7 linked regions of the Macaca fascicularis genome follow. The protein of the gene in region 5 purifies or fractionates together with the protein of the main gene of each other region. This does not show direct contact. Links are inferred from orthologs where the notes say so. Each region holds a gene or a part of one and is shown on either strand. Other genes may lie near its edges.

Evidence for each region.
Region 1: the proteins of GSK3A (region 5) and AXIN2 purify together in Homo sapiens (affinity purification with mass spectrometry; 3 studies listed by BioGRID and IntAct, with this or other methods). This does not show direct contact. The link is inferred for Macaca fascicularis from reciprocal best matches to the Homo sapiens genes GSK3A and AXIN2.
Region 2: the proteins of GSK3A (region 5) and FRAT1 purify together in Homo sapiens (affinity purification with mass spectrometry; 4 studies listed by BioGRID and IntAct, with this or other methods). This does not show direct contact. The link is inferred for Macaca fascicularis from reciprocal best matches to the Homo sapiens genes GSK3A and FRAT1.
Region 3: the proteins of GSK3A (region 5) and PRUNE1 purify together in Homo sapiens (affinity purification with mass spectrometry; 3 studies listed by BioGRID and IntAct, with this or other methods). This does not show direct contact. The link is inferred for Macaca fascicularis from reciprocal best matches to the Homo sapiens genes GSK3A and PRUNE1.
Region 4: the proteins of GSK3A (region 5) and NBR1 purify together in Homo sapiens (affinity purification with western blotting; 3 studies listed by BioGRID and IntAct, with this or other methods). This does not show direct contact. The link is inferred for Macaca fascicularis from reciprocal best matches to the Homo sapiens genes GSK3A and NBR1.
Region 6: the proteins of GSK3A (region 5) and GSKIP purify together in Homo sapiens (affinity purification with mass spectrometry; 7 studies listed by BioGRID and IntAct, with this or other methods). This does not show direct contact. The link is inferred for Macaca fascicularis from reciprocal best matches to the Homo sapiens genes GSK3A and GSKIP.
Region 7: the proteins of GSK3A (region 5) and AXIN1 purify together in Homo sapiens (affinity purification with mass spectrometry; 12 studies listed by BioGRID and IntAct, with this or other methods). This does not show direct contact. The link is inferred for Macaca fascicularis from reciprocal best matches to the Homo sapiens genes GSK3A and AXIN1.

The regions. Positions count from the first base shown.
Region 1 is NC_088390.1:72,001,513-72,005,012, reverse strand, and holds part of AXIN2 (axin-2), read left to right. Parts: 5' UTR 1-80; coding exon 81-895; intron 896-3,500. UniProt on the Homo sapiens protein: Inhibitor of the Wnt signaling pathway. Down-regulates beta-catenin. Probably facilitate the phosphorylation of beta-catenin and APC by GSK3B.
Region 2 is NC_088383.1:106,269,572-106,273,539, reverse strand, and holds FRAT1 (proto-oncogene FRAT1), read right to left. Parts: upstream 2,801-3,968; 5' UTR 2,601-2,800; coding exon 1,761-2,600; 3' UTR 211-1,760; downstream 1-210. UniProt on the Homo sapiens protein: Positively regulates the Wnt signaling pathway by stabilizing beta-catenin through the association with GSK-3. May play a role in tumor progression and collaborate with PIM1 and MYC in lymphomagenesis.
Region 3 is NC_088375.1:110,202,126-110,205,625, forward strand, and holds part of PRUNE1 (exopolyphosphatase PRUNE1), read right to left. Parts: intron 2,994-3,500; coding exon 2,835-2,993; intron 1-2,834. UniProt on the Homo sapiens protein: Phosphodiesterase (PDE) that has higher activity toward cAMP than cGMP, as substrate. Plays a role in cell proliferation, migration and differentiation, and acts as a negative regulator of NME1. Plays a role in the regulation of neurogenesis.
Region 4 is NC_088390.1:64,240,016-64,243,515, forward strand, and holds part of NBR1 (next to BRCA1 gene 1 protein), read left to right. Parts: coding exon 1-51; intron 52-519; coding exon 520-595; intron 596-2,258; coding exon 2,259-2,369; intron 2,370-2,621; coding exon 2,622-2,786; intron 2,787-3,500. UniProt on the Homo sapiens protein: Ubiquitin-binding autophagy adapter that participates in different processes including host defense or intracellular homeostasis.
Region 5 is NC_088393.1:49,296,515-49,300,525, reverse strand, and holds the start of GSK3A (glycogen synthase kinase-3 alpha), read left to right. Parts: upstream 1-1,211; 5' UTR 1,212-1,376; coding exon 1,377-1,659; intron 1,660-3,708; coding exon 3,709-3,896; intron 3,897-4,011. UniProt on the Homo sapiens protein: Constitutively active protein kinase that acts as a negative regulator in the hormonal control of glucose homeostasis, Wnt signaling and regulation of transcription factors and microtubules, by phosphorylating and inactivating glycogen synthase (GYS1 or GYS2), CTNNB1/beta-catenin, APC and AXIN1.
Region 6 is NC_088381.1:164,445,629-164,449,128, forward strand, and holds part of GSKIP (GSK3-beta interaction protein), read left to right. Parts: intron 1-1,883; exon of another isoform or gene 1,884-2,074; intron 2,075-2,814; coding exon 2,815-2,976; 3' UTR 2,977-3,500. UniProt on the Homo sapiens protein: A-kinase anchoring protein for GSK3B and PKA that regulates or facilitates their kinase activity towards their targets.
Region 7 is NC_088394.1:1,044,197-1,047,696, reverse strand, and holds part of AXIN1 (axin-1), read left to right. Parts: intron 1-1,093; coding exon 1,094-1,339; intron 1,340-3,384; coding exon 3,385-3,492; intron 3,493-3,500. UniProt on the Homo sapiens protein: Component of the beta-catenin destruction complex required for regulating CTNNB1 levels through phosphorylation and ubiquitination, and modulating Wnt-signaling.

The sequences.
Region 1 (3,500 bases), on a different chromosome or scaffold from region 5:
AGAGACCACGCCGATTGCTGAGAGGAACTGGAAGAGGAAGAAAAAAAATTCCCAAACTCTGTGGGAAGAGCTCCCTCACCATGAGTAGCGCTATGTTGGTGACTCGCCTCCCGGACCCCAGCAGCAGCTTCCGTGAGGATGCCCCGCGGCCCCCAGTGCCAGGGGAAGAAGGGGAGACCCCACCGTGTCAGCTAGGGGTGGGCAAGGGCCAGGTCACCAAACCTGTGCCTGTCTCTTCCAACACCAGGCGGAACGAAGACGGGTTGGGGGAGCCGGAGGGGCGGGCATCTCCGGATTCCCCTCTGACCCGGTGGACCAAGTCCTTACACTCCTTGTTGGGCGATCAAGACGGTGCTTACCTGTTCCGGACTTTCCTGGAGAGGGAGAAATGCGTGGATACCTTAGACTTCTGGTTTGCCTGCAATGGCTTCAGGCAGATGAACCTGAAGGATGCCAAAACTTTACGAGTAGCCAAAGCGATCTACAAAAGGTACATTGAGAACAACAGCATTGTCTCCAAGCAGCTGAAGCCTGCCACCAAGACCTACATAAGAGATGGCATCAAGAAGCAGCAGATTGATTCCATCATGTTTGACCAGGCGCAGACCGAGATCCAGTCGGTGATGGAGGAAAATGCCTACCAGATGTTTTTGACTTCTGATATATACCTCGAATATGTGAGGAGTGGGGGAGAAAACACAGCTTACATGAGTAATGGGGGACTCGGGAGCCTAAAGGTCGTGTGTGGCTATCTCCCCACCTTGAATGAAGAAGAGGAGTGGACTTGTGCCGACTTCAAGTGCAAACTTTCGCCAACTGTGGTTGGCTTGTCCAGCAAAACTCTGAGGGCGACGGCGAGTGTGAGGTCCACGGAAACTGTTGACAGTGGATACAGGTGAGACTTGGACGAGGGTGGGTGGGCTGATGCTGTGGACTTTGCAGATGTTTTAGGTATGGTGGGTGGATGGATGGGTGTGCTGCAGAGACTGACAGGTCTGTTGAGAGTTAGGACTGCTGGCCATGAACTCTTTTTGATCTTGCTTTTTGTTGTTTAAAGAGGGGGAAAGTGATGAACATACGGCTAAATACCTGCAGTCTTCCAGTGCTGACATCAAACAGTGGCAAGGAGTGTTCACTAATGTGGGTTACTTATTATCCCGGGCCAGTGTCTCAGAAGCGGCTGAGAGAGAGAGAGAGAGAGGACAGCAGCTTTTGATGCCTCTGAGTCACCAGATCCACTAAGCGCTGGTTTTGGAAGGGGTCACTTCACCACTAATCAGTAGGGGGTGGAATTAATGTGGCTAGGGAGGCAGCTGGGTTGTGGTGGAGGCACAGGAAATAATGTGTGCACCCATTGAGGGGTAAGTGGGATTTTTTTTTTTTTTTGAACTTTTCTGTTAAGATAAGAGCCAGCAATTGGCTTAACTGAGTTTGTGGTTCTCTTTGTAGAACTAGATATTTACCCAGCAAGAAAGGCCTCTAACTAGGGAAGGTCCTGTGACTTTCCCGAATGAAGGACCCTTAGCTTTAGAGCCTGCTGGCATATTAATCCAGGTTTTAAATGCTCATGAGTCCGAGGGTCAGACTTCAGTTGATTATTTTGTTAGTGCTGATGGAGAAGAGATCTTGGCCCGGGAGTTCTGGGGCCCTGGAGTACTTTCTCTTTGAGGCTTCAAAGACAAATAGTTCTTTGCAGAATGGCCAAGTCTTAAGATTCTTGACCTTTGGAGGCAACTTCAGACCTCTTGTTAGAATGAGTTTTTCTGTTTTCTCCCCTCCTCCCGACTTCCAGATATCCGAAAAGAGAATGAGCCTCTCTATTCTGGGGTGTGGTTCATGACAGGCAGGGAATGGGGCTGCACTTGACTGCTCTCTGAATGGTGTGTCTTGCTGCCTGTGTGGATTTCTCTGTGTGTTAGGGGCCCAGGATGCGATCTGATAGCTGCCTCTGGATTTCCCTTTCTCTGTAGGGTGTGGTCTCTAGTGCTCAGCAGCAGGAAGAGAGGTGGGCACCAGATGGTTGATCCTGAGCCTCTCTGGGGGCCAGGTCTGAGCCTAGCGGGCCATGATTTTAGGGGTGGCGGAGAGAGTTGACTGTTGGCGAGGAGGGGAAGGGCTTGTTCTCCAACCACCAGGGGGCGCGCTTGTGGCTTGGGAACCAGTTTTACTCAGACATCTGGTCTACACCTAAGTGGAACCAGGTTGACTTTTGCAAGGAAGCACAGGTTCCAGGGAGGTGTTTCAGCGTCTTTATGCTTATGGAGTCAGGTTGTCTGGGAGGAAGACCCTGGGTCTGGCCTCTGCAGTGGGTCAGTCGCTGGGCACCTGCTATGCCTGCCGGCACCATTATGAAAACATTTGGGTAAGCCTCTGGCGCTGGCCTCCTTGCCCTCTAGTCTGGCAGCCAGAGCTGAGACTACGTAAGGGCCGTGGTAAAGGCTCCTTCTCCAGGGGCCTCCTGACTGGGGCTTCTGTGTCTCCCACTGTCGGGACCGGAGTGTCACCTTTGTAAATAGCAGTAGGTGGTTTTGGATGTTCTCCCCAGGCAGGGCTCTGCTGTGAACCCTCCCCTTTGTGGGTGGGCAATTGAGACCCAGCCTGGGCTTGCCTCATCTGGGATATTACCAGGATTCGACTCCTGAAGCTTTTGAGATCCAGAAGGCAGGGGCAGAAGCTCCTGTTTTCCAGGGCTGCCTTCTTGGCTGTGAACTGTGGACATCATTGGTAAAGAGGTGACAGCTTGTCATTGACCTGAGAGTTTCCATACTAGATTCATGTGTGCTTCCTCCCACTGTTGGGTTCAGATGAAGCATCTTCATGGACTCTCTGAAGCTCATGTGTCTTAACTGGGCATATTTAAAGAGAACTTAAGACATAGCCAGATGATCTAACATCATTTTAACGTGCAAGACATTCGAGTGTGTGCACAGTATATCAAAAGGTCTGCTGAGTTATTCCAAGGCTTGCGTTCCAGCCCGGTCCACCACTTACTACCTGGGTGTTGAAGCCTTTCTGAACCACATGTAATAGGTGGGCACCATTCCTTCTGTCTGTGTCATAGGATTGTTATTAGGACCAAAATAATAAACATGAAAGCCTTTTGTAGAGACAAACGTTTTGAACAGCCGCAAAGTGTTATAATTAGTATAATTAGTAATGATAATGTCAAAAGGGCAACCAGGTTGGGATGTCACTTTTATTTTATTTTTTTTATTTTATTTTTTATTTTTTTGAGACGGAGTCTCATGCTGTTGCCCAGGCTGGAGTGCAGTGGCGCGATCTCGGCTCACTGCAAGCTCCGCCTCCCGGGTTCCCGCCATTCTCCTGCCTCAGCCTCCTGAGTAGCTGGGACTACAGGCGCCCGCCACCGCGCTCGGCTAATTTTTTGTATTTTTAGTAGAGACGGGGTTTCACTGTGGTCTCGATCTCCTGACCTTGTGATCCGCCCGCCTCGGCCTCCCAAAGTGCTGGGATTACAGGCTTGAGCCACCGCGCCCGGC
Region 2 (3,968 bases), on a different chromosome or scaffold from region 5:
TCACTTTCATTTAATTTCATGCCAGCTCCAATACACACCCAGCTGCGGAGACCTTGTCTAGCTAGTGAGCTGCTCAGACACAAAGGCGCTCTAATTACCATCCGCAAGCCAGGCTGACAGGGATTTCAAGTGTTTTCATGTTTATGGAGATCAGAGAAATGTGTTCTGTACATCTTTTTCACCGATGGCAAGTATAAAATAAAACCAAACAAAAAACCCAACACATTTATTCAAAGCAGGCATTTCAGTTAAGTTAAAATCCTATAATCAGGATAGCCACAATTCCAGACACTCCGGTGCGAAGTGTAGATATGTCAGTAGCCACATCTGGATGATGAACAAGCCATTGACTATAAAAACGAGAACAACAGCACAGTCTCAGCGCCTTTAGAGTGAGTGAACAGTATGTTCCAAGCACTTCACCATGGTTCACAATGGCAAAGCCTGCAGCTTCTCCATTTGGAGGGTCACATTTTCTACTCGGTTTCCTGCACTTACAAAGGCCAGCTGGCATGGCTGGGGGAGGGGCAGAGGGAGGAAATCAACTCCGCTATCCAGGGAATTGCAGCTGTTATTGCAAATGGCCCCAGAGAGCCCATTATAAGCTGCTGTGCTAGGCTGTGTGTCCCTGGAGTGCCCATCACATGGCGTCTCCCTAGCCCCCAACCCAGGCCCCCAGGATCCCAGAGCCACCCGCTTGAGTAGGACAGCAGAGCCAAGTGGGAGAGGAGGAACCCGGGGCTCCGTCTCGGGAGTTTCCGTGAAAGCCCGGAGCGCGGCCAGGGGCGGTGGTCGCCTAGGGAAGCAGACGCCCAGCACGTCCGCGCTTTCCCACACCCGCGGTGGCGGCGGCGCGCGTGTCCTCAGGAGACTCCAGCACTTGCAAAAAACACTGCGCTCTTCTCCGAGCACGGGCAGAATCCGGCTACTCTGTCCCGCAACCCAGTGCGTGCCCAGGAAACAGTGACCTTGAACCCGAGGAGAGGCAGGCCGGCTGTGAAAATACACTTTAGAGAGCGCGTGGGGTTCACTCCGCGCCTCTCTACCCTTCCATCACCATTCAATACCCCCCGCCCCCACCTCCTGTCCCCACCCGTGTCGTACAGCCTTTCCCCCACCACTCTGAGAAAGGCAGACAGTTGCAAAGGGAGCGCAGGGGTTAACTCCTATTCAACCCTCAAAGGGTCCCTTCATGGCACCGCGTGTTTGATATTAAGCAGCACCTCCAAAGACACAAGATGGTTTTTTTAAGTGTTGAAAATATTCAAGTCTGGCAGATTGGGGTGCACCCTGAAATTATCTACTCATGTTCCCCTCCCCCAAAGTGGATCAGGAGCCAGCCCTGAAAAGGTAAAGCAAGTAACTGGCATCATCCTCAGTAGTTCCGGCGCGCCGCGATCCGGAGAAGCGTGGATTGTGGCCACATGGTCGCGGGGCTGGAGGGCACTGAGAGGCTGCGCGGAACTGCACGCTCCGCGGCTGGGTCGGGTCACTCCAAATAAGGAATCCTACTAACTTGTAAGCTTGGGGTGCGCTCTGTAAAATCCGCCTTAAATAGGGCCGAGTTCTGCATTTCAAATATTTTGGCCCTCAACCCCAGTTACCCGCGAAACATTCGCGATTTTTCTGTTCCTCGTCTTTAGCTTTTTTCTCCCACTTCCAAAAGCCAGAGTTCTCCACCAGCCTGAGCAGAATTGCAGCCCTCAGGGGAACCCGTTGCCCTCTAGTCTGAGGCCGGCGCTGTGGGCACCCCGGGCGTGTTAGCTGCCAGGGACAAGAACGCCGTCGCCAGTTCTGAGCTGCGCCCTCCCGGAGGCGCCAGGGTCACTGCAGGCCGCGCGAGGGCTGCGAGGTGAAGGGGGTTCATGCACCGGGGCCGACAGAGGTCCCAGGAGCGGGCGTTGGGGAAGCTTTGCACGTAACTGCAGCCGTCGCGAATGAAGCCTTCGCACGGCCTCCTTGATGAGGTTTCCAGAGAGCACTAGCTGCTGCAGGAGCCGGTGCGGGTCGTCGTCGCCTGTGCGGGTTTCTGGTTGGGACCCGCGTCGCTGCTGCAGGCGGCGGGAGGCGGCGGCGCCCCGGAGCCATCCTCGCCGGCACGGACCCGACAGCGGCTGCGGGACGCCCTGCTTGCCAGCACCCGGAGGACCATCGAAGTCGGCCTGAGGGGGCAGTGGGGACAGCGCGCTGGGGCCTGTGGCGAGCTCCGCCACGCAGTAGGGCGCAGCGCGGCCCCGCACGCGGCCGCGGTCCCCCAGGGCGCAGCGCAGGACCCCAGGGGGCGCCGGGCCCACAGTCTCAGCCGACGCGGGAGGCAGCAGCAGCGGCACCGCCGGGGGCCTGGCCTTGTCCGCCGGCACCGCCGCAGCCAGGGGTCCCGGGGCCCGCAGCGGCGCCCCCGGGGGCGCGCACGGCGAGGCCGGGCTGTCCTGCGCCGCGTCCAGCTGCAGCGTCTCGCCGATCTGGGCCACCAGCCGGTCCACCTCGCCCGAGCTGCCCAGCGCCACCGACTGCTGCAGCAGGAGGAAGCTGTCCTCCTCCTCTTCCTCCCCCTCCGCCTCCTCGCCAGCTTCCTCTTCCTCCTCCCTCCGGCAAGGCATGGCCCCCTGTCCGGGCACCCGGAGCTGTGCGGGCGTCGCTGGGGGCTCGACTGCCGGCGGGTGCGGTGGGCCGCGGCGGAGCGGGCGCGGAGCTGAAGACGATGCCGGGGCCGTGGCCGGGGCCGGGGCAGGGGCCGTGGCGGACGCGGAAGCCGGAGCCCGCCAGTCACTCCAGCCGCGCGCCTGCAGCCGCGGGAGCCGGAATCCTGCCGGCTCGGGTTGATTTGTAAACAATGGGTGACGTCGCGCTGGGCCCTACCACCGCGCCGGGGAGGGGGTGCTGTGCCGCTGGGGGACGGGGCTTCTGCGGGACTGGGGGTCTGGGTGAAGCCGGACTGCCTTCTGAGCTCCTTCGCTCAGGGTGCTGTCTGCAAGGGCGCCCTGGGGACCTGATCCTGGCTCCCGCAGTCGGGCGCGATTGGCATTTCCAGAAATGGACACCAGCGTGGACCTTGTTGGTTTCTTCCACACACAAGCACACACACACAGTAACACACACACACCGACCCACACACCCCTTCTCTCCGTGCGTCAACTCAACCGGGTTTTAGCGTTTGCGCTTTTGAGGTCCAGCATGCGGGTGTCTGGTGAGGATGGAAAGGAAAGGGAGTCAGGCTAGGGATTTGTACGGAGATTAGGGAAACTGACGGGAATGGGAAGGAAGAAGGGGACCTTGTCGTGCGATGGAGGTGGCAGAGTTGGAAATGGCAAAGAAAGGCCACGGATTAATGTTTCTTGATCGAGATCCTGGGCGGATGGGGGCCTGGACTGGGGTTGGCATTGCTGGAGAGGAGGAGGTTGCTAGTCTTTTTTGTTTGTTTGTTTGTTTTTGAGAGGGAGTCTCGCTCTGTCGCCCAGGCTGGAGTGCAGTGGTTTCATCTCCACTCACTACAACCTCCGCCTCCTGGGTTCAAGCAAATCTCCTGCCTCAGCCTCCCCAGTAGCTGGAATTACAGGCACCCACCACCACGCCCGGCTAATTTTTGTATTTTTAGTAGAGACGGGGTTTCACCATGTTGGCCAGGCTGGTCACGAACTCCTGACCTCAGGTGATCCACCTGCCTCAGCCTCCCAAAGTGCTGGGATTACAGAGGTGAGCCACTGTGCCCGGCCTAGGTTGCTAGTTGCTAGTCGTTTTTTTTTTGTTTTTTGTTTTTTGTTTTTTTTTTTTTTTTTTGAGACAGAGTTTCGCTCTTGTTGCCACAACCTCCACCTCCTGGGTTCAAGCAAGTCTCCTGCCTCAGCCTCCTGAGTAGCTGGATTACCGGCATGTATCACCATGCCCGGCTAATTTTGTATTTTTAGTAGAAATGAGGTTTCTCCATGTTGGTCAGGCTGGTCCCAAACTCCCGACCTCAGGTGATCCAC
Region 3 (3,500 bases), on a different chromosome or scaffold from region 5:
TATCTAGAGGCCAGAAGAGGGATGGAGGAAGAATGAATTGAACAAAATAAGATTGGTATCACTATTACCCTCACTTACATGCAGGGAAACTGAGAATTCGATGATCAGGTAACTTGCCTAAGGTCATAATTTGCATGAAGCGAAACTGACACTAAGCCCAGAGCTGTCACCAAAGCCAGTGTTCTAAATCAATATATTATACTACCCCTAACACAGGAGAAAGAGAGGAGATGGTAGAGTAGACTGTGAGAAAAGGACTCCTGGCTGGGCATAGTGGCCCACACCTGCAGTTCCAGAACTTTGGGAAGCTGAGGCTGGTGGATCACTTGAGTCCAGGAGTTCGAGACCAGCCTGAGCAATGTAGCGAGACTCTGTCCCTACAAAAAATACAAAAAAAATTAGCTGGCCATGATGGTGTGCCTGGAGCCCCAGCTACTTAGGAAGCTGGGAGGATTGCCTGAACCAGGGAGGCAGAGGTTGCAGTAAGCTGAGATCATGCCATTGCACCACTCCAGCCTGGGCAACAAAGCAAGACATCTCAAAAAAAAAAAAAAAAGAGAGAGAAAAGGACTCCTGTTTCTAAGCATAGGGGCAGCCTGGACAATGGTAGAGTCATTAGAAATCCACACAGCTGGCCGGGCGCGGTGGCTCAAGCCTGTAATCCCAGCACTTTCAGAGGCTGAGGCGGGTGGATCACGAGGTCAGGAGATCGAGACCATCCTGGCTAACACGGTGAAACCCTGTCTCTACTAAAACTACAAAAAATTAGTAGGGCGTGGTGGCGGGTGCCTGTAGTCCCAGCTACTCAGGAGGCCGAGGCAGAAGAATGGCGTGAACCCGGGAGGCGGAGCTTGCAGTGAGCCGAGATCGCACCACTGTTCTCCAGTCTGGGAGACACAGCGAGACTCTGTTTCAAAAAAAAAAAAAAAAAAAAAGAAATCCACATAGCTTCGAATGAGCAGCACAGAGGGGAGAAGATTCAGGAATGTGGAAGAGGTACTTCTAATGGCCAAAGCACCCTTTTCTTCATGAAAGGATTAGTAAGAGCCACTATTTACAAAGTGCTTACTCTGCTCCAGAAGTGTGCTTTACACATGATATTATGTTTAATGATCATAGTAGAATTAGCAGTAGGTACTATTATGCCATTTCCAGATGCAGAAGTCAAAGAGTAAGACTTGCCTTAGCTCAAAGAGTAAGAGGCAAATCTAGAACAGAAAAACGCATCTACCTGACTTTAAAAACTGCAGTTCTTGGCCAGGTGCAGTGGCTCACGCTTGTAATTCCAGCACTTTGGAAGGCCAAGGCGGGCGGATCACTTGAGGTCAGGAGTTCGAGACCAGCCTGGCTAACATGGTGAAACCCCGTCTCTACTAAAAATACAAAAATTAGTCGGGCATGGTAGCGGGCGCCTGTAGTCCCAGCTGCAGGCTGAGGTGGGAGAACTGCCTGAACCTGGGAGGTGGCAGTTGCAGTGAGCCAAGATCACACCACTGTACTCAAGCCTGGGCAACAGAGTGAGACTCTGACTCAAAAAACAAACAAACAAAACTGTAGTTCTTTTCATAATGACAAACCACCTTACACTGAATGAAATCAGATTTGCTTCCTGGGGAGAAGGCAAAGGCAAAGGCAAAGGGAGGTGGGAAAGGGCAGACATACCTTCTATGAGAGCAAAGGATTATCTGGCTGTATTCTGTCTTTAGCAGTCCTCACAGAGCCTAGGCCACCCTCAGAATCCCTGAATTGCCTTAAGCCCACCTTTTTTTTTTTTTTTTTTTTTGAGACAGAGTCTCTCTCTGTTGGCAGGATGGAGTGCAGTGGCGTGATCTCGGCTCACTGCAACCTCTGCCTCCTAGGTTCAAGAGATTCTCCTGCCTCGGCCTCCTGAGTAGCTGGGACTATAGGCACGTACCACCACTCCCAGCTAATTTTGTATTTTTTAGAAGAGATGAGGTTTCACCATGTTGGCCAGGATGGTCTCAATCTCTTGATCTCATGATCTGCTCGCCTCAGCCTCCCAAAGTGCTGGGATTATAGGCATGAGCCACCATGCCCAGCCTTAAGTCCACTTTTAAATTCTTCCCTAGGCTAATCAGTAACCAGCAGAGGAACAGAAAGGAGAGGAAGTAGGAAAGATAGCCAAAAGGAAGATCAGGAAAGAAAACAAATCTGGATCTAGATCACTTCATTACAGAGTTTGCATGATACAGAATAATTAATCCCTGCATAGTAAGTAGCAGAAAAGGTCTCTCATATTTCTAATTTTCAAGGCAACAGCATGATTCCAGGGGTGAGGAATTAATGATTAAACCAAGAATAGAGTTTTGTTTTGTTTTTTTTTCCCCCAATAGAGATGAGGTCTTGCTATCTTTACCCAGGCTGGACTCAAACTTTCCAGCTCAAGCAATCCTTCCGCATCAGCCTCCCGAGTTGCTGGGACTACAGGCATGTGCCACGGTCCCTAGCTCAAGAAGGGAATTTTAACTACAGATTTGTAACATTTCCTTCTAACTAGATTTCTTTCAAGTTCTTTCAAAGTATGAATTGAATCTTTAGTTCTTTTTGGAATTCACCTTTTCGCAACAATGCTATGATTAAGGATGTTCACTAAAAAAAAAAAAAGAATGAAAAAAAAAGGATATTCATATACAGAGAGAATGGGAAAAAGCAGAAAGGGGAGGAAACAGGTCCAGAAACAGGTCAAGGGACCTCGTGTAAGTATGTTAATATAAGAACCTAAGAGAGGTCCTTATAGGACAGCTGTAGAGCACAGAGGTACATACAGGTGGACTCTGTAAGGCTCTTAGGTTGGAGAAGGGACACAGACTCACCGTTGTTCGGAGTGCCACATGGGGACAGAAAATAGCCAACTGCCGCACTGGCTCATTGTGAGTGTTGAAAAAGATAGTCATGGCGACCAGGACATCGTAGCTGTGAGCCTGGCAGAAAGCATGGAGATCTGCAAGGAGGTTAGACCTCTCCAGAAAGGCCTGAAAGGGAAGAAACGGAGAGGGATGAAGGACTTTCTCATCATCATCAATAAAACATCCTTGGGCTAGGCACGGTCACTCATGCCCGTAATCCCCGCACTTTGGGAGGCCAAGGGGGGCGGATCACCTGAGGTCAGGAGTTTGAGACCAGTCTGACCAACATGGAGAAATCCCATCTCTGCTAAAAATACAAAATTAGCCGTGCGTGGTGGCGCATGCATGTAATCCCAGCTACTTGGGAGGCTGAGGCAGGAGAATCGCTTGAATTCGAGAGGCGGAGGTTGCAGTGATTCCAGATCGCACCATTGCCCTCCAGCCTGGGCAGCAAGAGCGAAACTCTGTCTCAAACAAACAAACAAAAACAAAAAAAATGCTGATAATGTATGTAATGTGCCTAGCGTGTTCAAGGCTCTCCGGTTCTTGCAATCAAACAAGGAAAGTCTTTGCCTTGTGGGTATTTTTTTTTTTTTTTTGAGACGGAGTTTTGCTCTTGTTGCCCAGGCTGGA
Region 4 (3,500 bases), on a different chromosome or scaffold from region 5:
GCCAGTGAGAGGGAGCTCTACATCCCATCTGTGGATCTTCTGACTGCCCAGGTGGAAGATTCAGCACTTTGTAGGGCAAGGGACAGAGGGAGAGAGCACAGGAGAGAAGGTGGTAGAGCCATAGGCGGTAATCAGGAAATCAGAGATATGCCCACTTTGATCTAGTCCGGTATATTTAATGGGAAGGAGATCACCCATGGAAGCAAATTTGTAAACTAGATGTTTCCTCTTTGAATTGGGAACTCAATCCTGTACTTCCCCACAAACTCCCTTTAGTGGCCTCTTCACTTTGGCCTAGCTGATTCTCCTTTTTACCTGCTGCATTTTCTCTTTCCTGCCATTTGGTTATTTCAACACCTAATTCCTATTTAACTCTTCCTTTTTTCACTTGTCTGGAGACAGGCATGAATTTGAACAGAGTTGAATACAAGACGATGTGGAAATGGTCTACAGATCCCATCAAGACGTGGCTCCAGCATGCACTCCAAACAGCCTAACATTGTCTGTCTTTTTTTATAGGACCTGCTGTCGTTTGAGCTGTTGGATATAAACATTGTTCAAGAGTTGGAGAGAGTGCCCCATAACACCCCTGTGGGTAAGAATGTCACTCATTTCATCTTGTTCATCTTACTAATAGGCACACAATACCATAGCCTAGACGCTGGTAGTGTTTTATTCTGAGGAAATGGCAAGGAATTCTCCCTCAGTAGGACAGTAAAGCAGCAATCATGGATCCGTTTTCTTTCTTTCCTGACCTTTCTCAAAAGCAACAATATGCTGGGCATGGTGGCTGGTGTCTATAATCCCAGCTCTTTGGGAGGCCAAGGCGGGAGGATCACTTGAGGCCAGGGTTTGAGACCAGCCTGGGCAACATGGTGAAACCCCCATCTCTACAAAAATTACTTTAAAAAATTGGCCGGGCGCGGTGGCTCATGCCTGTAATCCCAGCACTTTGGGAGGCCGAGGCGGGCGGATCACGAGGTCAGGAGATCGAGACCATCCTGGCTAACACGGTGAAACCCCGTCTCTACTAAAAATGCAAAAAATGGCCGGGCGCGGTGGCTCAAGCCTGTAATCCCAGCACTTTGGGAGGCCGAGACGGGTGGATCACGAGGTCAGGAGATCGAGACCATCCTGGCAAACACGGTGAAACCCCGTCTCTACTAAAAAAAATACAAAAAACTAGCCGGGTGAGTTGGCGGGTGCCTGTAATCCCAGTTACTTGGGAGGCTGAGGCAGGAGAATGGTGTAAACCCGGGAGGCGGAGCTTGCAGTGAGCTGAGATCCGGCCACTGCACTCCAGCCCGGGCAACAGCGCGAGACTCCGTCTCAAAAAAAAAAAAAAAAAAAAATGCAAAAAATTAGCCGGGCGAGGCGGCGGGCGCCTGTAGTCCCAGCTACTCGGGAGGCTGAGGCAGGAGAATGGCGTGAACCCGGGAGGCGGAGCTTGCAGTGAGCCGAGATCGCGCCATTGCACTCCAGCCTGGGCGACTAAGCGAGACTCTGTCTCAAAAAAAAAAAAAAAAAAAAAAAAAAAAAAAAAAAAAAAAAAAAAAATTAGTTGGGCATAGCCAGGCATGGTGGCTCACGCCTATAATCCCAGCACTTTGGGAGGCCAAGGCGGGTGGATCACAAGGTCAGAAGTTCAAGACCAGCCTGGCCAAGATAGTGAAACCCCATCTCTACTAAAAATACAAAAATTAGCCGGGCATGGTGGCAGGTGCCTGTAATCCCAGCTACTCGGGAGGCTGAGGCAGAGAGTTGCGTGAACCCAGGAGGCAGAGGTTGCAGTGAGCTGAGATCTTGCCACTGCATTCTAGCCTGGGTGACAGAGCAAGACTCCATTTCAAAAAAAAAAAAAAAAAAGAAGCAATGATACAAGTTTGTGCAAGGCTTTTCCACTGTAAAGGAATCCTCTTCTCTTTTTTTCTCTAGACATTTTGTCCTTTTGTTCCTTTATATTCTTCTCTTTTTTTCTCTAGACATTTTGTCCTTTTGTTCCTTTATATTCATGGTTTTGTATCTTGGCCATAGCTTTCCAGGCTAAATAACTGTGATTCTTTCTGCATTGATTGATCTGAGATATTTTGCATACTTATTGGTCTGGAGAAATTTTCTGTAAGAGACCTCAAAGCATATCTTGGTTTATTTTAGTTCTGCAGGAGGCAAGAAGCCTGCTAAGTGCTACTTCTGGACACTGACTATTGATGATATGATGCTTTCTCTTGATTGATGGTTCTCCTCTCTTCATTCTCCAGATATGACTCCCTGCATGTCTCCTCTGCCACATGACAGTCCTTTAATAGAGAAGCCAGGCTTGGGGCAGATAGAGGAAGAGAGTGAAGGGACAGGATTTAAAGCACTTCCTGGTAAGGGATTAAATATTTGTAAAGTATTTACATCCTTCCTTTCCATACCATACTCTATTTTACAGCTATCCCCTACTGACCTTACTTAGCATGTAAATGGGCTTTCTTTCTATAGCATCTCATGTTTTGCCTCACCTTCACGTGGCACAGATAGCAGCTATTCCTTGGTTTAGTTTTAGCATGGGTAATGACTGGTGAACATTCCTCAGCACTTTAAACACTAAGTGCAGACAAGGTTCATATGTCTTTCAGATTCTACAGTGTCAGTAAAGAGAAAGACTCAGAACATTGCTTCTGTGGAGGAAGCAGAAGAAGACCTGAGTGGGACCCAGTTTGTGTGTGAGACAGTAATCCGATCCCTTACCTTGGATGCTGCCCCAGACCACAACCCTCCTTGCAGACAGAAAACCTTGCAGAGTGAGTGTCCTTGCATTTCCCCCACCTAGCAGGGTGACACCTGAATCGTGACTGCCAGACTTGATGAGTTAGATGTGCTGTTCTTCACTGAGAGTGAAAGGAGAGTGAATCTTTGTTAGAAATTCTGATCTTGTTTGTGTCTTTAGACTCTACATATGCTACCTGACTGTTCTAATTAGAGCATCAGGAGCAAAGAAGCCACCATACTCCTTTTTCCGTCTTCTCGGGCAGAATTACAGCTGCACTCCACAGTGGAATAGCAGCCAGTTGTGCTGCCTGGATTCTGCAGTAAGGAATCTTCCTGTAATTTGACAGAGCTCCTTAGCAAAGACCCCTCTGGGTAGCTGAGTTGTCTGCTTTCTCCAAGGGCAGCAGTCCCAGAAACAGTGGATAGAAACAGGAGTACCAAACAAAGTTTCTCAAGGTTAAATTCTGCTGTAATAAATGCCTTTATAGGCCGGGCACAGTGGCTCACGCTTGTAATCCCAGCACTTTTAGGAGGCTGAGGTGGGTGGATCACCTGAGGTCGGGAGTTCGAGACCAGCCTGACCAACATGGAGAAACCCCATCTCTACTAAAAATACAAAAAATTAGCCGGGCGTGGTGGCTACATGCCAGGGATTACATGCCTGTAATCCCAGGTACTCGGGAGGCTGAGGCAGGAGAATCACTTTAACCCGGGAGGCAAAGGCTGTGGTTAGCTGAGATTGCGCA
Region 5 (4,011 bases):
GGGTTTCGCCATGTTGGCCAGGCTGGTCTCGAACTCCTGACCCCAGGTGATCCGCCCGCCTCGGCCTCCAAAAGTGGTGGGATCACAGGCGTGAGCCACCGGCACCCAGCCTGAGCCACCGCGCCCGGCCCAGAAATTCTATTTCCGTCTTTTTAATGCTCCATTCAGCTTCCTGGTGCGAACCACATTGCTAGGAAAAGCTAGACTGTATCCGAAGACTAGTTAGTGTTCGGAGAAACCGCCGGGAACTTTGTTTCCCGAATTCTTTGCAGAGTTGCGGTTAGAGAGGGGACATTTTTTCTTTCTTGATCTATGGTCACCTGGAACTTAAAGGTGCTTGGCTCCATTTTCCAGCAGTCCTTGATCGACCTCGCCTCTTTCTTTAAGAAGAACCTGGGGGCGAGGAAGGAGGGGCTGAAACACTTTTAAGTCTCTCCAGGGAACTACTGCAGTCTCTAACCTTTCGCTCCACGCCCCCGATGGTGGCCATTGGACTCCGCTTCCCGACAAGCCTCCGCAAACTGGCCTCACAAAGGGTCAGGTCTGGACTATTCCCCAGCAGGCTTGGAGCTCATGGGCGATCCCGCCCCCTCAGTCAATGGGGAGGATGCCTTGAACTCCATTTCCCAGAACACACCAGGGCTCGCTGTGGCAACTGCACTGAAGCCTTGGTGTTGACTACACTTCCCGGCAGGGACTGCGGCCTAGCGTACCTGGGAAGAGAAGCGCGAAATTTACTCCATTTCCTCTCCCATCTCCGGAATTGCAGTATCCACTTGGGACTTAAGAAACCACCTGGGACTCCATTTCCCGGCGTGCTTTAAGAATCGCTTTACACCTGCAATGCGGTGAGGGCGTGGCGATGACTCCATTTCCCGGCTTGCTTCACGGCCCGAGATCCGCAGGTTCACGCGCGCCGACTCAATTTCCCAGAGCGCACCGGGCTCTGGGACGCACACACAGCCAATAAACTGAGTGAGTGGACTCTGTTTCCCAGCGTGCATCAGGCTCTCTGCTTCCCGAAATACTTCAGGGCTCCCCGTCGTACCGTCGGCAGACAGATTACCCTGGACTCCATTTCCCGACGTATAGCGCGACCCGTCATTCCCGCGGTCTACTCTGAGGCTTTTGTGGACTTCATTTCCCGGCGTGCCACGGGGCTCTCTGTGCGGGCCGAGGGCGGCGACGGCGGCGCGGACGACAGCCGGACTGCATCTCCCGGCGTGCCCCGCGGCGGGCGCTGGGCCGGAGCCGGAGCCCAAACCCGAGCGGCGCGGCCTGGAAGAGGCCAGAGCCCGGGGGAGGCGGCGGCAGCGGCGGCGGCTGGGGCAGCCCGGGGAGCCCGAGCCCCGCGGCCTGGGCCTGTGCTCGGCGCCATGAGCGGCGGCGGGCCTTCGGGAGGCGGCCCTGGGGGCTCGGGCAGGGCGCGGACCAGCTCGTTCGCGGAGCCAGGCGGCGGAGGCGGAGGCGGCGGCGGCGGCCCCGGAGGCTCGGCCTCCGGCCCAGGCGGCACCGGCGGCGGAAAGGCATCTGTCGGGGCCATGGGTGGGGGCGTCGGGGCCTCGAGCTCCGGGGGTGGACCCGGCGGCAGCGGCGGCGGAGGCAGCGGAGGCCCCGGCGCAGGCACTAGCTTCCCGCCGCCCGGGGTGAAGCTGGGCCGTGAGTACTAGCGGCGCCCGTGTAGGGTGGTGATCAGGGTTCCCAAAGCTCCTCAGACATCCATCAGGTTCTTTCATATGCTTAGGTAGGAGCCAGAGGTCACTATGCCTCCCCAAATCGGGGATCTGAGCCCTCTTCCTCCCAGGAAAAGGGGTCTTGGGGTTACCATCTCTTGGAGATCAGAATTACTCTTGGATCAGAATTACTAACACTCAAAGAAACAGGGGTTACAAGTCCCTGTTCTTTCATTATTGAGATCTTGGGTCCTTGAGCCTTAAGAACAGGTATCTGACGTTGCTACTCATTATAATATTGGATCAGAGGTCACAGTCGCTTGCAAATGGGGATTTAGGGTTATTGTCTCCTAAGAGAACAAGAATAAGACCAATCGCGAAAAAGAGGGATCTGCATTCGCTGTCCTTCAGAAGATGAGGATTTGGAGTGAATATCACTTAGAAGCAGGGCTTTGAGGTTACTGTGTTGTGTCCCCAAAGAATAAGGCCAGGCTTGCCAAACCTGGTACTCAGATCACCTTCCCTATTAAAACCAAGACCTGGCATCATTACCCACCCTAAATATTGTTGAGCTGTACCCCCAATGGTGAGAATTAATAGTTACTGCTTCTTAAAGACATTGGGAGTCAGCATATCCTTCAAATCAAGTCCATAGTCCATGTTTTAAAATACATGGCTTGGTGTGTCTCCTTTAACAAAAATGGAATGGAGCAGGGTAGGTCACAGTTTCCTATAAAATATGGATCTAAGGTTATACTTGTTTAATAATTGTTCTAAGGTATGGTGTCATTGGCTCTGAAAAAAATAGTGATGTAGGGTTATCTCCCTCTGAAAGAACATGTCACTGGCCCCTCAAAATGGATTTGGTGGCCGGGCGCGGTGGCTCACGCCTGTAATCCCAGCACTTTGGGAGGCTGAGGCAGGCGGATCACCTGAGGTTCTGTTTGAGACCAGCCTGGACAACTGGTGGAACCCTGTCTTTACTAAAAATACAAAAAATTAGCTGGGCGTGGTGGCGGGCGCCTGTAATCCCAGCTACTCGGGAGGCTGAGGCAGGAGAATCGCTTGAACCCAGCAGGCGGAGGTTGCAGTGAGGCGAGATCGTGCCACTGCACTCCAGCTGGGCAACGAGAGCGAAACTGTGTCTCAAAAAAAAGAAAAGAAAAAAAAAAAGAAAAAATGGATTTGGTTCATCAGTTACTCAAAGGGGTCACTATCCTTTAAGAATGGCACCAAGGTTTGCTACCATTTGAATAATGGGAATTGGAAATTATAGCTTTCCTTCAAAGGACTGAGGCTGGAATAGCCCCTTGATAATAAAGGTCAGGTTCATCATTCTCATAATTTGGTGCTTGTCCATTAGGGACCACCCACATACGGGGAGGAGTCTGGGTCTCTGGACCACTCAGATGAAGAGGTCAGGTCAGTGTTTTTTTCTAACCTCAAAGTACCAAAAAGTGAGGGTCAGGGCACTGGTACATACAGCAGGAGAGGACATTCATTTCTGTCACCAAGAACCAGTGAAGTTACCAGCTCTACAGGGGAGGACTTAGAGGTCAGTATCCTCTAGGCTGTGAGATAGGTTAGTGTTTTCCTGAAGTAGGAGTACCTGAGGGTTACTGCTCCCTTAAGTGGAAGAGGCCAGGTCAAGCTTTCTCCAAAGAGGAGGGGCCAGAGGGCAGTAGATCCAGAGTAGATGGAGTCAACATCTGATGTCTCCCAGTACCAAGACGACCAGTGATCTATTGCTTCCTAGAAGTAGAAATTTGGGGTTGCCAGCCCTTGAAGCAGAGAGATTTAGGTATCAATATCCTCCCATGTGGAGGGGGGGCAGGATTTAAGGTTCCCAGAAAGGAAGAGGGTTTGAAAAGTCACTGGGAAGGTTCCAGCATCCACCTTTCCTCAAAGAGGAGGAGGGAACAAAGAGGTCCCCAACGAGCTTCCTGCAGAGATTTCCCTTCCTCCTACAGCCCCAGGATGGGGTGATGCGCAGACAGGATGGGTCAGTGGATCGTGTATCCCCTTTGTTCCCCAGGTGACAGCGGGAAGGTGACCACAGTGGTAGCCACTCTAGGCCAAGGTCCAGAGCGCTCCCAAGAGGTGGCTTACACAGACATCAAAGTGATTGGCAATGGCTCATTTGGGGTCGTGTACCAGGCACGGCTGGCAGAGACCAGGGAACTGGTCGCCATCAAGAAGGTTCTCCAGGACAAGAGGTTCAAGGTAGCTTGGGCGGGATGGGGACAGGGAGGTTTGGGGACTTGGTGTGACTGGTGGGAGAACCCCAGCCAGAGAGCTGGAGGCTTAGGTTTCAGAGCCATGGACCAGAAGAGAAAGT
Region 6 (3,500 bases), on a different chromosome or scaffold from region 5:
ATCATGACCCCCAAAACTAATTTATTTCTCATCTATAGCTGAATGTGTTCACCAAAATTATATATACATTCTCTGCATTGAATGGGTTTTGCAGTTATTGTGTTGAAAAGATCTTCGTCAACCCCTTGGAAATGTCTCTTCTGTTAAAATAACATACTTGACAACACTGTTTTCCAACTCTTAGATCAGAAATAAATCAGAGCAGAACATTCCACCCCCAGATTTCCAAGAGTGTCCCATTAACCCTTTATTATGAGTATCTCTTTATTATGAGAGCTCTTCTAGGCAGATTAACCTTTCCATTCTTTAAACCAAAATCATGAGTTTAGAATAGTAGAAAACATCACCTGAGAGCAACTTTTAATTAAAAAAGAAAAAACTATAGGACAGGCCTGTGGACTCTTGCCTGTAATCCTAGCACTTAGGGAGGCCAAGCTGGTAGGATCATTTTAGGCCGGGAGTTCGAGACCAGCCTGGGTAACATAGCAAGACCCTGTTTCTACAATATATATTTTGTTAATTAGCCCAACATGGCAGCACTTTCCTGTAATCCAGCTACTTGGGAGGCTTAGGAGGGGGACCATGTGTCTGAAGTTGCAGTGAGCTAGAATTGGGCCACTGTACTCCAGCCTGGGTACACACACCCTGTTTAAAAAAAAAAAAAAAAAAACTGTTATAAAAACCTTTGAGCTACTGAACAACGGGATAGACATTAGAAAATCTAAAATCTAGTTTTAACCTTACTAATCAATGAATCTTCAGTCTTAACAAATGTCATACATTTCTGTGTTTCTATATTTGTTCAAAGTAATTGTACATTATCATAAGGTGGTGAGCTAGGCCTACCTAAGCAAGTAAGAATGTCACATGATATTATCTTAAGTACATAAACATCTCTTTACTTCACTGGATTCAGTTTGCTGAAGATGAGTCGTGTATACTGTATATTCCTTGATGGAGCAAATTGCAAGGCCAGCATCTGTACTACCCTCAATTTCCTCACAGCTGCCAGAAAGATAGCTGCTTAACTTTAAGCATAGTACCTGAATTAACTAATTTTTGTGCACTTCTTTTCACATCCTTAAATTTGTACTAAAAGCTCAGAGTGTTTAGAGGCGAACCCTAAATCAGAAGTAGAGATAAATGACAGAATTAGTAAGCTAATTCTGTCTTGTGTTGGTTAATTCTAAGTTGGCGCTGGGGAGATACAAGGAGTTCTGATCAGAGAGTCAGCAGTCTTAAATGTGAATTTAAATGATCTTAGGTGAATCTGTCTACCCCTGAGAGTTCCTACTTCTTAATCTATAACTTGGAGATTTACAAAAACTTAAAATGATTTGGGGAATGATTATATGATGGTGTGATACAGAAAAATCTGAACCATTTGTAAAACCTGACATGTAGTAGGTGCTCAAGTATTTGTTTTTCAGTCTGATTCAGTTAACATTTATTGAGCAACTATCCTGTGTCAGCAATTGAAAATCAAACCATGAATAAGACATGATCCCTGTCCACCAGGAAGATCACAGTCTAACAGTGATAAGAGGAAGAAGGCAAACTGAACTGTACTCCACTGTAGAGAGTACAGTAATCGAGCATGGATCTGAAGAGGTGTGATTCATTTTCCTTAGGCGTCTGCCTCTGCTTTTCATTAAAAAAAAAAAAAAAAAAAAAAAACTCAGCTTCTATTTCTAACATAAACTTTCACCTTCTATGGCTTAAGTAGATGTCATAAAAATTTAGGATTTATATAGGGAATGTACAAACTTAAGTCAGCAAAAACTAAATTAATTTTGCCCTATATTGTGATGGTGAACCATGATATACCTTATAATCTTGTCAGAAAGAAAAGTTGTAGCTGTGGTCACAGGAAAAAAAAAAAAATCACCTCTCAGCCTTTTGACTTAGATCAGTTGGAGTATCTCTTCTTATCAGTTTAATATCTGTTATATCCTCTATGCAAGGACAATATATTAAATGGATTTTTGGAGCAGGGAGATAGAATAGGCTTTTGCTCCATTCACTTCACTCATCGACCTGGTATTGCAATACTTCCAGAAATAGTGTACCCCTACCAAGAAAAAAGAAAACACAGTAACATTCCCTTTTATCTCACAGAGTTGAGCATTTATTCCCTGTCAGATAAGAAATATATTAGGTGAAAGTGGCCTTTCAGATTACTAATAATAAAGCTAAGCAGTTATTAAAATGAATAATTAAATTATTAAACCAATTAATAAAACAGTTATTAAAATTAACAACTAATTATTAAAACTAAATTGTTAGGAATAATTTCTATAATTCTATTTATAAAAGGAGTAAAAAATGATAAAAATATGAACCAATGATATATTACCTATTACAAAAATATGAACTAACATATTACCTATTACAGTACTTAATATAGTGGACCCTCAGTATATGTGGAATTAAATAGGGTAAATAATAGATGCATGTTTTAGAATATGAAAATGGTTTTTGTGTAGCTTTTCAAATTCTGCATTTCCTTGAGATTCTAAGTAAAACCTTTTAAATTTTAAAGAAAATTCTATAGGGAGCATTTTAGTGGTGGTGTTTCTGTGTTACACATTGTAAGTTGCTGAAGTATTAAAGGTTGTTTTTAAAATGTGCATACTCTGACATTGATTGAGAAATAGTGTCACTCAATAATTATCCATGTATCTGGTGGTCTAGTGGCTAGGAAAAAAAAATAATTTTTTTTTTTGAAAGGATAGTTACTCACGTAAACACTTGGATTTTGTTTTCTGTACCAGCATGAAAACTAATGAATTCACTGTTGCATTTCTCTTGTAGGTGGTAGGCTATGCTTTTGACCAGGTGGATGATCATTTACAGACTCCCTACCACGAAACAGTCTACTCACTGTTGGATACACTCAGCCCCGCCTACCGGGAAGCCTTTGGAAACGCACTCCTTCAAAGACTGGAAGCTTTGAAAAGGGATGGACAGTCATGACTACACTTTTTCCTTTCAGAGGGGCTGGTGCTGGTACAGAATGTTGATATAAAGCTTGAAATTCTTGCATATGGTCATAGAAAATGCATCTTTGGTTTTGTGTTTTTATCACTTGCTTTCAACTTAGGCTTTTGGCTCAGAAGATTATTGAATAATGATTTGTCTTAGTTTCTGTTTCAGTAAGGGAATTCTGAGGCCGTTGCTATGATACCATCATTAAGACATTCACATGTCTTCATATAATATCTCTTCATTTCAAATCCTAATCAGTATTTCATACTCTTATTACAGGGCTTTGATGCTGCTAGCACTGTCTTTTACATAGGAAATTCTAGATTTGCACAGTAATAGAGGAATTAGAATTACCTAACTATACACTTTGATTCAACCTGCTAAATCAGGGGTTCACTACTAGCTTGGAGAAACTTTGTAGTAATTAATTGCTACTAGCCTTATTGGAAACAAATTATCAACTAGTTTCCCCTGCACAAATTTTGAAATTCACTGCTTCACTTAATCTATTT
Region 7 (3,500 bases), on a different chromosome or scaffold from region 5:
TTGTTTGTTTTGTTTTTTTTGTTTTTTTTTGAGATGGAGTCTCACTCTTTCCTAGGCTGGAGTGCAGTGGTGCAATCTCAGCTCACTGCAACCTCTGCCTCCCAGGTTCAAGCAGTTCTCCTGCCTCAGCCTCTCGAGTAACTGGAATTACTGGTATCCACCACCACACCTGGCTAATTTTCTGTATTTTTTGAGTAGAGTCATCGTTTCGCCATGTTGGCTAGGCTCTTCTTGAAGTCCTGACCTTAGGCGATCCGCCCACCTTGGCCTCCCAGAGGATTGGGATTACAGGCAAATCAGGGATGGTTTTTTGTTGTCTTTTTTTTTCTGAGACCGAGCCTCACTCTGTCACCTAGGCCGGAGTGCAGTGGCGTGATCCTGGCTCACTGTAACCTCCAGTTCCCCAGTTCGAGCCATTCTCTGGCCTTAGCCTCCAGAGTAGCAGAGATTACAGGCGCCCGGCTACTTTTGTATATTTAGTAGGGACGGGGTTTCACCATGTTAGGCTGATCTCAAACTCCCGTCCTCTGGTGATCGCCCACCTCAGCCTCCCAAACTGCTGGGATTATAGGCGTGAGGCATTGTGCCCGGCCGGGATGTTTTTATTGTGTGGTCTGAGGAGGACATCCATGTGTCTTGGTGGCCAGGCCCCAGTAGCCCATCCTTTTTTTTTTTTTTTTTTTTTTTTTTTTTTTTTTTTTGAGACACAGTCTCGCTCTGTCGCCCAGGCTGGAGTGCAGTGGCGCAATCTCGGCTCACTGCAAGCTCCGCCTCCTGGGTTCACGCCATTCTCCTGCCTCAGCCTCCTGAGTAGCTAGGACTACAGGCGCCCGCCACCGCGCCCGGCTAATTTTTTGTATTTTTAGTAGAGACGGGGTTTCACTGTGGTCTCGATCTCCTGGCCTTGTGATCCGCCCGCCTCGGCCTCCCAAAGTGCTGGGATTACAGGCTTGAGCCACCGCGCCCGGCCTCCCCAGTAGCCCATCCTATCCTACCCCTGAAGGAGGCTACCCTTGTGAGATGGGTGTAGCCCCACCAGGCCACCTGGCCAGGGTGTTGGCCACAGCCACAGCTTGTTCTCTTGTTCCCCAAGGTCCTCAGGGACAAGGAAGCCACAGCCCCATGAGAACTCCAGACCCTTGTCCCTTGAGCGCCCCGGGGCCGTGCACCCCTGGGCCGGCCCTCAGCTCCGGACCTCCGTGCAGCCCTCCCACCTCTTCATCCAAGACCCCACGATGCCACCCCACCCAGCTCCCAACCCCCTAACCCAGCTGGAGGAGGCGCGCCGACGTCTGGAGGAGGAAGAAAAGAGAGCCAGCCGGGCACCCTCCAAACAGAGGTACGGCTGCATCGTGGGGTGGGGTGGGTCTTGGGAGTTACCACAGCACCATTCCTAGGGCTGAAGCTCCCCAAGGCCTGAGGTCTTCAGGGGAAAAACGGCCCTCTGGTGTCGCCCAGCCATACTGGGCCCTTCCTTCCACTGAGAACCACTGAGGAGCCATGTGGCAGGCGACCCTGCGGTGGACGGAGGGCTGGGGCCGGAGCTTTCACACACCCAAGGCCTCTGTGCTCACTGCTCTTGTGGAGGGGGGTCCTTCCTGAACCTGAGCCGCGTCTGCAGGGCCCCAGTGTGTGGGGAACACTGGTCCCAGCCAGAGGCTGCTGACTGCTGGGCAGCCTGGGCTTTGAGACAGGGGTCCTGGGGCATGGCGGCTGCCTCTTGACAATCGCACCCCACGAGCCCTGAGTGGCTTTACGCGGTTGGAAAACTACGTGGGTCTGCAACCTGTGCAGATGTAGAGTTGTCATCCTGGACGTCCAGCCCCCAGCCCCTCCTCGCTAAGCCTTCCTTGGCCTTCTGGGCCCCAGTAGCCAGACCCTGTTCTCTCCCCAGAGCAGGCTGGCTTCTCCCTGGGCTGCAGCGAGGCCGCCCCTTTGTTCCGGCAGCGTTTTTGCTGCAGGCCAGAACCTGCCTTCTCCACTTTCAGCTTTTTGCTCTTGAGGCCAGTTTTCTCGGCCATCCTGGGTCATTGGAATTCCTCACACATCAGGGTCTCTGTGAGGGTCCTGGGAGCCTGTAGCTCATGCAGGCCCTGGGGCTGTGGTCACAGAGGCCATGGTTGCCTTCAGAGGTCACCAGCTCCTCCTGTCCACCTTGGGTCACCTGGGGCCTGGGGTCCAGGCCCACCTCCTGGGCCTCCAGCTTTGGGGCTGTGCCACTCCAGGGAGGCTGGGGCCAGGGGCCCTATTCTGCCAAACCAGCATCAGGGTTCAGACCCTTCCCAGCCGAAAGCCTGTGTGGTCTCAAGTCATTAAAGTTTCAGCCTAATGACAGCTCTGGGGCCAGAGAGGGTCACAGTTACCTCAAACCCAAAGGGTGATCACTTTATGGCCAAACGTCTGTGACCCTGTGATCTTGTTCAGCCAACAAGGAGCCAGAGCCCCGTGCCATGCAGGAGCCTGGTGTGTGGTGCTCGGAGCTGGGGCGTGTGACCGGGCTGGCAGATGAGCCGGGGGTGGGCATCATGTGCAGCAGGTTCAAGGCCCTGGGCCTGTGTGCTCTCCTGCTGGGGCTTCCTGAGCCCCCTTGTTGGGCTGAGCAGGGGTCTCTCGAGTTGCATCTGCCCTTTCCCCGGGCACCCACAGGCCCTACATGATGGCAGGGGATGCCCGCTGAGCCGTGGAACCATTGCCGCCGTTCTGAGACACGACCTTCCTGCCCCTGTTTGGATGCTGTGGGGAAACCCAGAGTTGCTGGGTTTGTCTGTCCAGGGGACACATGTTTTTGCGAGAAGCTGTGGAGACTTGGAGTGAAGGCCCAGAGGCAGGTCGGGTGCTGGGCCCTGTCGGGCTGTAGAGTAGAAACTACCATCAGGGTCGCCCAGTGCACCCCGGTGGAGGTGTCCACGTGAGAGGAGCTGCCGTGCTGCCCCAGGATGGCCTCAGTTGTGGCGCCGGGGGGCTCTCAGCCTCCCTGAGGTGCAGACAGAGTTGCCACACCCCAGAGCCAGTGTCCACGCCATTGGTGGGGAATTCATGCCAGAGACCCAAGGACAGGCTCTCGGGAGGAGATGGCGTCCCACCAGAGGGGATGAGGTGGTAGGATCCCAGGACCCCAGATCAGAAGCTCCCCAAAGTGCGGTCTGGGGAACAGGGGGGTTGGTACCCAGATCGTGAGTGTGGAGTGTGCTGCAGTGTCTGGCACCACTGAGGCCTAGGAGGGGGTTTGGTGTCTTGTCCACCCTGCAAACTGGAGCCTTCACGGGGCAGGTTGTACAGCCCCTTCATGCTCCGTCTGTCCCTGCGCGGCAGCATTGGTCGAGGCTCCTTCCCCAGGGCTGGTGGCCGCCGGCGCAGCCACCATTGACGCGGGTTGTTCCCTAGGTATGTGCAGGAGGTTATGCGGCGGGGACGCGCCTGCGTCAGGCCAGCGTGCGCGCCAGTGCTGCGCGTGGTACCAGCCGTGTCGGACATGGAGCTCTCCGAGACAGAGTACGTGC